2 linked regions of the Nothobranchius furzeri genome follow. Each later gene encodes a partner of the first gene's protein in a complex. Links are inferred from orthologs where the notes say so. Each region holds a gene or a part of one and is shown in the gene's direction. Other genes may lie near its edges.

Region 1 (4,427 bases):
CAACTGAAAAGAATGAACATGAAAAGAATGTGCATGTATAGCACTCAATACTTAGTCGGGGCTCCTTTTGCCTCAATAACTGCAGTAATGCGGCGTGGCATGGACTCGATCAGTCTGTGGCACTGCTCAGGTGTTATGAGAGCCCAGGTTGCTCTGATAGTCGTCTTCAGCTCCTCTGCATTGTTGGGTCTAGCGTATTGCATCCTCCGCTTCACAATACCCCATAGATTTTCTATGGGGTTAAGGTCAGGCGAGTTTGCTGGCCAATCAAGGACAGGGATACCATGGTCCTTGAACCAGGTGCCGGTGGTTTTGGCACTGTGTGCAGGTGCCAAGTCCTGTTGAAAGGTGAAGTCTGCATCCCCATAAAGTTGGTCAGCAGCAGGAAGCATGAAGTGCTCTAAAACTTCCTGGTAGACGGCTGCATTGACCCTGGACCTCAGGAAACAGAGTGGGCCAACACCGGCAGATGACATGGCACCCCACACCATCACTGACGGTGGAAACTTTACACTGGACCTCATGCAACGTGGATTCTGTGCTTCTCCGCTCTTCCTCCAGACTCTGGGTCCTTGATTTCCAAAGGAAATGCAGAACTTGCTTTCATCAGAAAACATAACTTTGGACCACTCAGCATCAGTCCAGTCCTTTTTGTCCTTGGCCCAGGCGAGACGCTTCTTGCGCTGTTTCTTGTTCAAGAGTGGCTTGACACACGGAATGCGACACCTGAATCCCATGTCTTTCATGAGTCTCCTCGTGGTGGTTCTTGAAGCGCTGACTCCAGCTGCAGTCCACTCTTTGTGGATCTCCCCCACATTTTTGAATGGGTTTGTCGTCACAATTCTCTGCAGGGTGCGGTTATCCCTAGAGCTTGTACACTTTTTTCTACCACATTTTTTCCGTCCCTTCGCCTGTCTGTTAATGTGCTTGGACACAGAGCTCTGCGAACAGCCAGCTTCTTTAGCAATCACCTTTTGTGTCTTGCCCTCCTTGTGCAAGGTGTCAATGATTGTCTTTTGGACAGCTGTTAAGTCAGAAGTCTTCCCCATGATTGTGGTGCCTTCAAAACAAGACTGAGGGACCTTTTAAAGGCCTTTGCAGGTGTTTTGAGTAAATCAGCTGATTAGAGTGGCAGCAGGTGTCTTCTATATTCAGCCTTTTCAGAATATTCTAATTTTTTGAGATACCAAATTTGGAGTTTTCATTAGTTGTCACTTATGAATATCAAATTTAAATGTAATGAACATGGGAAATACATTGGTCTGTGTGCATTGCATGAATATAATGTACAAGTTTCACGTTTTGAATGGAATTACTGAAATATTTTCAACCTTTTGATGATATTCTAATTTACTGGCCAGCACCTGTATGTTATCTTCTCTAATTAAAAAAAAATCTGCTCGCTAGCTACCAAAATAAAAGCGTAGAAGAAAAGCTGGACCAATAGGTACGCGCGCGTCTATGTCACGTGGTCTCAGAAAATGTCCACTTGACGCCAGTATCCCGGTCTCGTTCGAGGTGCTGTTTGGAGTTCTGATTCTGACGGTGTTCCGCAGCTAGCTGAAGGTAAACGTCTTTCCCGAACAGGAAGCTCACAGCTGATTTAGTTTCCAGAGTTCCGTTCAGATTCGGCTCTCTGGACCGGTGTACATCGTGGTCCTAATCCCTCGATGTGTTTGTTAGAAACGGGGAATCTCTTTGCGGATTCAGTTAAGAGTCTGATGTGAATTTGTAAAAGCTAAACGTTTGTTTAAAAAACGCCATTGTTGCATCTGTCCCACGAAGCAAAGTCACGTGTCAGGGACTCGAAGACAACACGCCAGACAGACACAAGGTGTTTGTGTTTACATTCCACTTCAGACACCTTCAGCTACCAGGCTAGATAGTTTGTCCATGATAATCAGACCGGAACTCCTGTCTACTGGAGTGTGTTTGCCTTCATCACCTGATCCTGGATCACTGTTTTGGATTTATAGATTATGGGATGCTGCCAAGACGTTCTGTCATGGAGCGGTTATCTTGGCGGAGTTCTAGTCTCGCTCCATTCTCTTCAGTACAAACTCAAGTGGGTTTCTGTTGCAGGTATGAAGCTCCGGGTCCAACTCCAGTGTAAGAACCTGCATGAGTACATGAAGGAGCTGAGTCCTGATGTCCTAGACCGGCTCTTCAACCACCCAGCAACCTGTCTGGCGGTCTACAGGTGAGCCTGATCAGGTCTGGGTTTGTCTCCTCTTCTCTTCCTCACTACGCTGTCTGGTCTCCTACAGGGAACTTCCCAAGCTAGCCCAGAACTATGTGATACGCATGCTGTTCTTGGATCAGCCACTTCCCCAGGCAGCCGTAGCTCTGTGGATGAAAAAGGACGGTCAAAGGTCAGTTGCTCATCTGGTGTCTCCTGATCCTACGTCTCTGTAGTGGGCCTGAACAGGGACCCAGTCACAGGTGGGTTCTGATTTCCTCCAGCTCTGTGTCTTCTGCAGGGACCATGATGAGTGCGTGTCTGTCCTGACTGGTCTCCGTCTCTGGCACAGTCAGCAGCTGCAGGGTGGCCTGCAGGGTTACACTTTAAATCCAGTTTTCAAAGACAACCTGAGGACTGCTTTGCTGGGGGGGTGAGTGGCTTGAGGACTTCCTGCTTCAGCAGAGCTGAAGCTGCTCTTCCAGAAAAGTCTGATCCATTTGTGTGAACCACTTGTTTTGATCAAACAGTGGCACCGCATGGGCTGAAGAGCAGAGTGCCCTGGGTCCAGATCGTCATGCACGGGACATAGAAAGTCTAGACCGCTACGCCATGGAGCGCTGGGAGGTCATTCTACAGTTCATGGTGGGGTCACCATGTGCAGTCAGCCAGGACCTCTCTCAGCTGCTGGTTCAAGCAGGCCTGATGAAGAGGTAGGTTAGATTAAAGTTATGGGTTTAAGTAAAACTTTAAAAGATTAGAAAGTATCTGCTTTAAATATTCACATTTATTTAAATCTTTTTAATGCATGCAAGTCTGAGAGTAGCTCATTTAGAGGGAAGCGAATCTCATCAGCTTGTTTTATAAAGTTTTTTTATTGGATAATTATAGTTACTATTATAATAATATTCTAATAATATTATCATTGTTTTTACCATGAAACTTTCCCCGAAAGTAGGGATGCACCGATACTGGTATCGGTATCGGTGCAGATACCGATACTATTATCTGTATCGGTAAAAGTTAACCGATACCAGGAACCGATACCAATGCAGTTGCTTGAAAATGGCTTCACTGTAACTTGTCATTTCTGTCCACCTAATATTTTATTTTTGGGATGATTTCTATTCATATATTTTACTTTTTATCTACCTCAAAGTCTTTTCCTGTTGAAAGCAGAGAAGAAAATAAAATCTGTATTCCAAATCATTGCATTTTTTTGTGTGGTAGAAGTGTCGGTATCGGTAATTGGTATCTGCGAGTACTCAGATCCAAGTATCGGTATCGTATCGGTTTAGAAAAAAGTGGTATCGTTGCATCCCTACCCGAAAGTGTAAGAGCTTCAGGTTGTGATGTTTTGGTCAGGTCTTGTCAGAAAAGCAGGACCATGTCGTCACAACTCAGACTCTCAGGACTCATCTCATCGTCTTAGCCTTTAATGTAACATAGACAATAAGCCCACCCCCGTCCCGTAGAGCCAGTTCAGCATTAGCCAATAGCGTTAGACATCTGCTCATGTACAGATGTTATCACAGGTGTACATACATTTGAGGACAGACTTAGATAGGTGCATAGTTGGCGATACTTCTTATGGACAAGTAAGTCTTTAAAAGTGTGTGTGTGTGTGTATAACTGAAGTATCTCCTGAGACGTTCCACCACATAACTGCAGGGTATAAGATGCTGGCAGGGAAAACTTAAATGGAACGCCACAACCAAGTGGCTGGCATCGTGTACAGCAGTGGTTCTCAATCCTGGTCCTGGAGGGCCGGTAAGCGGTTTCTCTGCTCCAACACACTTGATTCAGTGGTTGAATCACCTGTGCAGCAGCTCACCAGACTCTGCAGGTGCTTGTAAATCACCTGCTGATTGAAATCAGGTGTGTTGAAACAGGGTTAAAACTACAACACCCTGGATACCGACCATCCAGGACCAGGATTGAGAACCACTGGTGTACAGAGTGTGGACTGGAAGCCCCGAGGTTAAAGTGGGAAACATCCATAAGGCGGTAGAGGACGAGCAAGTCCACAAAAGTGCAGTTCAAAGGAAATCTAAGATACTGCAGAACACTGAAGCTCCCAGACCTCTGGTAGAGGACACAAGCTTTGAAGGATGAGACCACCCGCGGAGGGTGAGATGGGAATATGTTAAATAGATGAATTAATAAACAGCACAAGGTGAAAATAATAATTGTAAAACAACGTGTTTAAGCTCTGTTGGCCGACTAGCGGTGCACATTCATGAATAAA
Region 2 (4,087 bases), on another chromosome or scaffold:
GTGTTTTATTACTTCCTATATTTGCGTATCTCTTAAATTTTTCTTTCTATCTTACCTTCTGCACCAAATACCGCAGCAATTTCCTAATGTTGTGACTTGGCACACATATGGCAATAAAACCTTCTGATTCTGATTCTAAAAAGCTGGTCCTTTGTATGTATGTATTTATTTATTTATTTATTTATTTATTTATTTATTTCACTTTGGTGGAAACCGGCCCTGTTAAATGAGGGAAATTGCAGTGTACCACAGTGACCATCAGGTGGCAGCCTTGTGGTGTGTCACCTTTTAAAATAGGCGCGTCATGAATGTTTGGGTGACGTTCTGACAGACACGTTAGCTCTACGTGAGATGATTTATGTTGTTTGTGCAGATAATAAGCTTAAGACCACGTTCGTTAGCCATGACATACAACCAAATAGAGGGCCAAAAGTACATAAAAAATTTATATCATTAATTGAATGTGTCATTAGTTGGTTGAAATATGAAATAATTATGTATATATGATTTTAATGAATGTGCTATAAATAAAAACATTTATTTGATGTAAAAATTACAGATAATCATTAAACTGTACAATTTTAGTAATTATTACATGGCGGAGCTGGCAGTGAAGTCGAAATGGTCCTCTCTCCAGGATCTCAGTCAGGTCCACCGGTAGAACCCCATGGAAATCCCTGGCCAGTAGACATGATGATTCCTCCAACATGTCCTGGATCGAGCTGGGGGCCTCCTACAGGCAAGACATGCCTGGAACACTTCTCCTGGGAAGCGACCGGAAGAATTCTCATTAATTCATCGCTGGATTCAGCCCCAGTCTTCTCTAGTCAATAAACAGGCCTTGGATTTGGAGGAGTCGGTGTGCATTTTAGGATTTAAAACAAAATAATTAAAAATTTTCATCCATGGCCCATTTAACAATTTATGTATGTAATGATTTATTCGTGAAATAATTTGGCATTAATTTGATTAATTGCACATATAAATAATATTTTTTTACGTGTCAAATTCCTTAAATCTTTAGCACTTGATTATAACAATTCATTAAAGAAAGTGAGGAGAGAGAGAGAATGGGGATTATTCAGCCTTTATTTAACCTACAGTTGGTAGAATTTACAGATCAAACTAAATGGAAAATGACTTAACTCCAGAAGGTGGCAGTGTTGCAACGGTAAACCTTGTTGATGCTTCTGAAACATCAAAAAAAAAAAAAAAAAAAAAAAAAGACAGACCGGAAAGGGAACTCTAACGAGGTTCTTTTGGCCGACCGGAATGTTTAGTAGCGTACCAGCCAGTGCAACGTTCATGTGGATTCGTGTTGGTTACAAAAGTGTAGCCTAGAAACGTTAAAATATTTTACACGGATATATACTACTCTAAAAATTTATCATGTCGGACAACGAAGACAAGTAAGTAAAGAAATCGTTTAAATAATCTGCGTCATTTTGTATAATCGACGTAAGCTAACGGGGATGCTAACTCGATTAGCATCACACGGTATTGTTTATTATGATCCTTGCCTATTCTGTGTATTGCTGCTTACGTCCTGTTTTATTCAGTCTCCCATCCAAGTTTACGTACTTTTGTACTTTTTCAATAAAGCTTGTTAAAAGTTATGAATCACCTAAAGTTTAAGATATCTGATCAAAGGTTTTAACTCCGTAGCTTCGATGATGGAGATTTTGATTATGCAGAGGAGGACGAAGGACTAGACGACCTGGAGAACGTCGAAGATGTGAGTTATTACAGAGACGGATCACCACTTGAGACTTTTATGAAGCTGTCTCCTGGTCTGAGCTTGTTTGTTTTGCTCTGGTGAATAGGAGGATCAGGAGAATGTGCAGATCCTACCTGCAGGAGAAGGCCAGCAGGCCAACCAGAAGAGGATCACCACACCGTATATGACGAAATACGAGCGGGCCAGAGTGCTAGGGACCAGAGCCTTGCAGATAGCGTGAGTGTGTTTACATGAGATCACGGTTAAAGCTGAGTGTGTTTGATCTTTAACTCGTTAAACACATTTTCACTGAGAGTAGGTTTCCTCCCTAAACTTAGTATTTAGAGATGTTCAGTGAAATTAGCTGGGCTCATTTCGGGATTTATGTCAGTAAAAGTTTCGTTTTTCCAAAAGACATTTAACCCTCCCATTGTCCTGATGGGTGTGACCCCGCGAGGAAAGTTGACCATTGAGCAGGGATGATGGTTTATCCCTTGGGTCCATGTGGCAGGGGTGAGAAGTGAGCACCACCTCACCCCTGCCATGTAGACATCAAGGGATAAACCATCCATCCTGCTCAGTGGTCAACTTTCCTGGCGGGGTCACCCATGAAGACAGTGGGAGGGTTAAGTAAAAACTTAAATATGCTAAATAGCGCATTAACACCTAGTATCAACAGAAGGTTATTTAGGTAAATCAGTAAAATCAACTCCTGATTCTGTTTTTGTCTTGAGTTTGGGCTCTCTGAATTCCCACCAGCAGAAATTCCTGGAAACAGGCGGCTGCTTGTGTAAATGCCTCATCTGCTTTCAAAATAAAAGCATGCCAAAGCCCATTTTAAAGCTAAAAGTAGCGTTTGAATCTACATGCAGAATTATTTGTATTTAATTTCCAATGCTGGCTGGATGGCTGCAACTAATGAGTCACTTTTTTCCCAGCTTTAGAGAAATTAGCCCACTATAAACCCCATATTCCCATGTTGCATCAGTCTGCCTGAATAAAAGTGTTTTTCCTGTGCTGGCTTGATTCCAACAGGATGTGTGCTCCTGTCATGGTGGAGCTGGAGGGAGAGACTGACCCTCTGCAGATCGCTATGAAAGAACTTAAGTAAGTCACTTTGACAAGCACCAACTTTTGGCTTTGGTTTTATTTAACGAACAACTTTTTACTTCACTCATCTTTTCTTCTCTTTCTCCAAAAGGGGCAGAAAGATCCCCATCATCATCCGCAGGTACCTTCCTGATGGGAGTTACGAGGACTGGGGCTGTGATGAGCTCATCATAACTGATTAAACATCCTAACCAGCATCACACATCATCATCTCTGGACTTTTAGAGACTCACTAACTTTTACAGAGTTGTACGTTTGCCTGCTGGGATCCGTTTATGAATATGTTGTTTTAATTTCTTTTCACCATTTTAACATCTACTTGAGGAGGAGAGACGAGAACCTTTAGTTAAATACTTTTTATGCATCCGTGAGGAGTCTAAACGGCTTGTTTTGTTTTTCGGAAGAGACGGTGTAAATGAATGTTTTATTGTTAATAAAGTCATTTCTAGAAGCTGCTGTGATGGATTTATGTACAAATCTCTGGTTTAAAACAGAAATGTGTTGCTGCGGTTGTTTCATTTAGAAAATTAAATGTCACCCCTTCTTTCCACAGGAGCCGTCAGCAGCGCGTCATAGCTGCTGATAGGAACCGCTGTGGTCAACAGAACCTTTTCCACCGGAGCCGTCAGCAGCGCGAGTCGGCCGCTTCTCAGGAGCAGCATGTCGCGGCCTTTACGCGCCGGTTCTATTTTCTACACGCGACGCCTCTGAAACGGGTCAAGTTCGACATTTTTGGGGAAGGAAAGACAGGAAATCGGACGCGGAAATGGAGAGAAGCTCCCGAGATTTTCAGAATAAAGAACGTACTGCCTTCCGGTTGCTTTACTTTTAAAAAAAGTTACTAACTGTGCGGCCCCGTGAGAAGTTATCACCTAGCTAGCGGTCTCCTTTGTTTTTCAGGTCCGTATTGGCGATTCTAAAATGGACAGAACATAAAACACAAACCTTTTGGAGCCATGTTGTAATTTTCTCCTGCTTGTTGTGTTTACTGACGAAGTCACTCGTGTGACTTCGTGCTCGGTCGGTGACAGCTGCTCCCCTGCTGCTTCGCATCTTGTGGGAAGGGCCAAACAGCAGCTTACGCGAGCAAGACGTGCTGCTGATGGCTCCGGTGGAAAGAAGAGGTCAGACATGATCATGTGATGAGAAGCTAAAATATTGTAGTTCAATTTCAAAAATTATGTTTCGCAGTCTAACTTAATTCCATCACTACAGGTAGTGGTGTGAGTAACTCTGCTACTAAAACATTTCATTTTTAGT

The links.
Region 2: gtf2h4 (region 1) and polr2f share a complex: the UniProt entries of both Homo sapiens proteins name them as parts of the TBP-based Pol II pre-initiation complex. The link is inferred for Nothobranchius furzeri from reciprocal best matches to the Homo sapiens genes GTF2H4 and POLR2F.

The regions. Positions count from the first base shown.
Region 1 is NC_091751.1:25,555,197-25,559,623, forward strand, and holds the start of gtf2h4 (general transcription factor IIH subunit 4), read left to right. Parts: upstream 1-1,443; 5' UTR 1,444-1,566; intron 1,567-2,082; 5' UTR 2,083-2,084; coding exon 2,085-2,200; intron 2,201-2,267; coding exon 2,268-2,372; intron 2,373-2,480; coding exon 2,481-2,612; intron 2,613-2,709; coding exon 2,710-2,892; intron 2,893-4,427. UniProt on the Homo sapiens protein: Component of the general transcription and DNA repair factor IIH (TFIIH) core complex, which is involved in general and transcription-coupled nucleotide excision repair (NER) of damaged DNA and, when complexed to CAK, in RNA transcription by RNA polymerase II.
Region 2 is NC_091752.1:66,413,787-66,417,873, reverse strand, and holds polr2f (DNA-directed RNA polymerases I, II, and III subunit RPABC2), read left to right. Parts: upstream 1-1,253; 5' UTR 1,254-1,389; coding exon 1,390-1,409; intron 1,410-1,665; coding exon 1,666-1,735; intron 1,736-1,823; coding exon 1,824-1,954; intron 1,955-2,752; coding exon 2,753-2,824; intron 2,825-2,918; coding exon 2,919-3,009; 3' UTR 3,010-3,278; downstream 3,279-4,087. UniProt on the Homo sapiens protein: DNA-dependent RNA polymerase catalyzes the transcription of DNA into RNA using the four ribonucleoside triphosphates as substrates.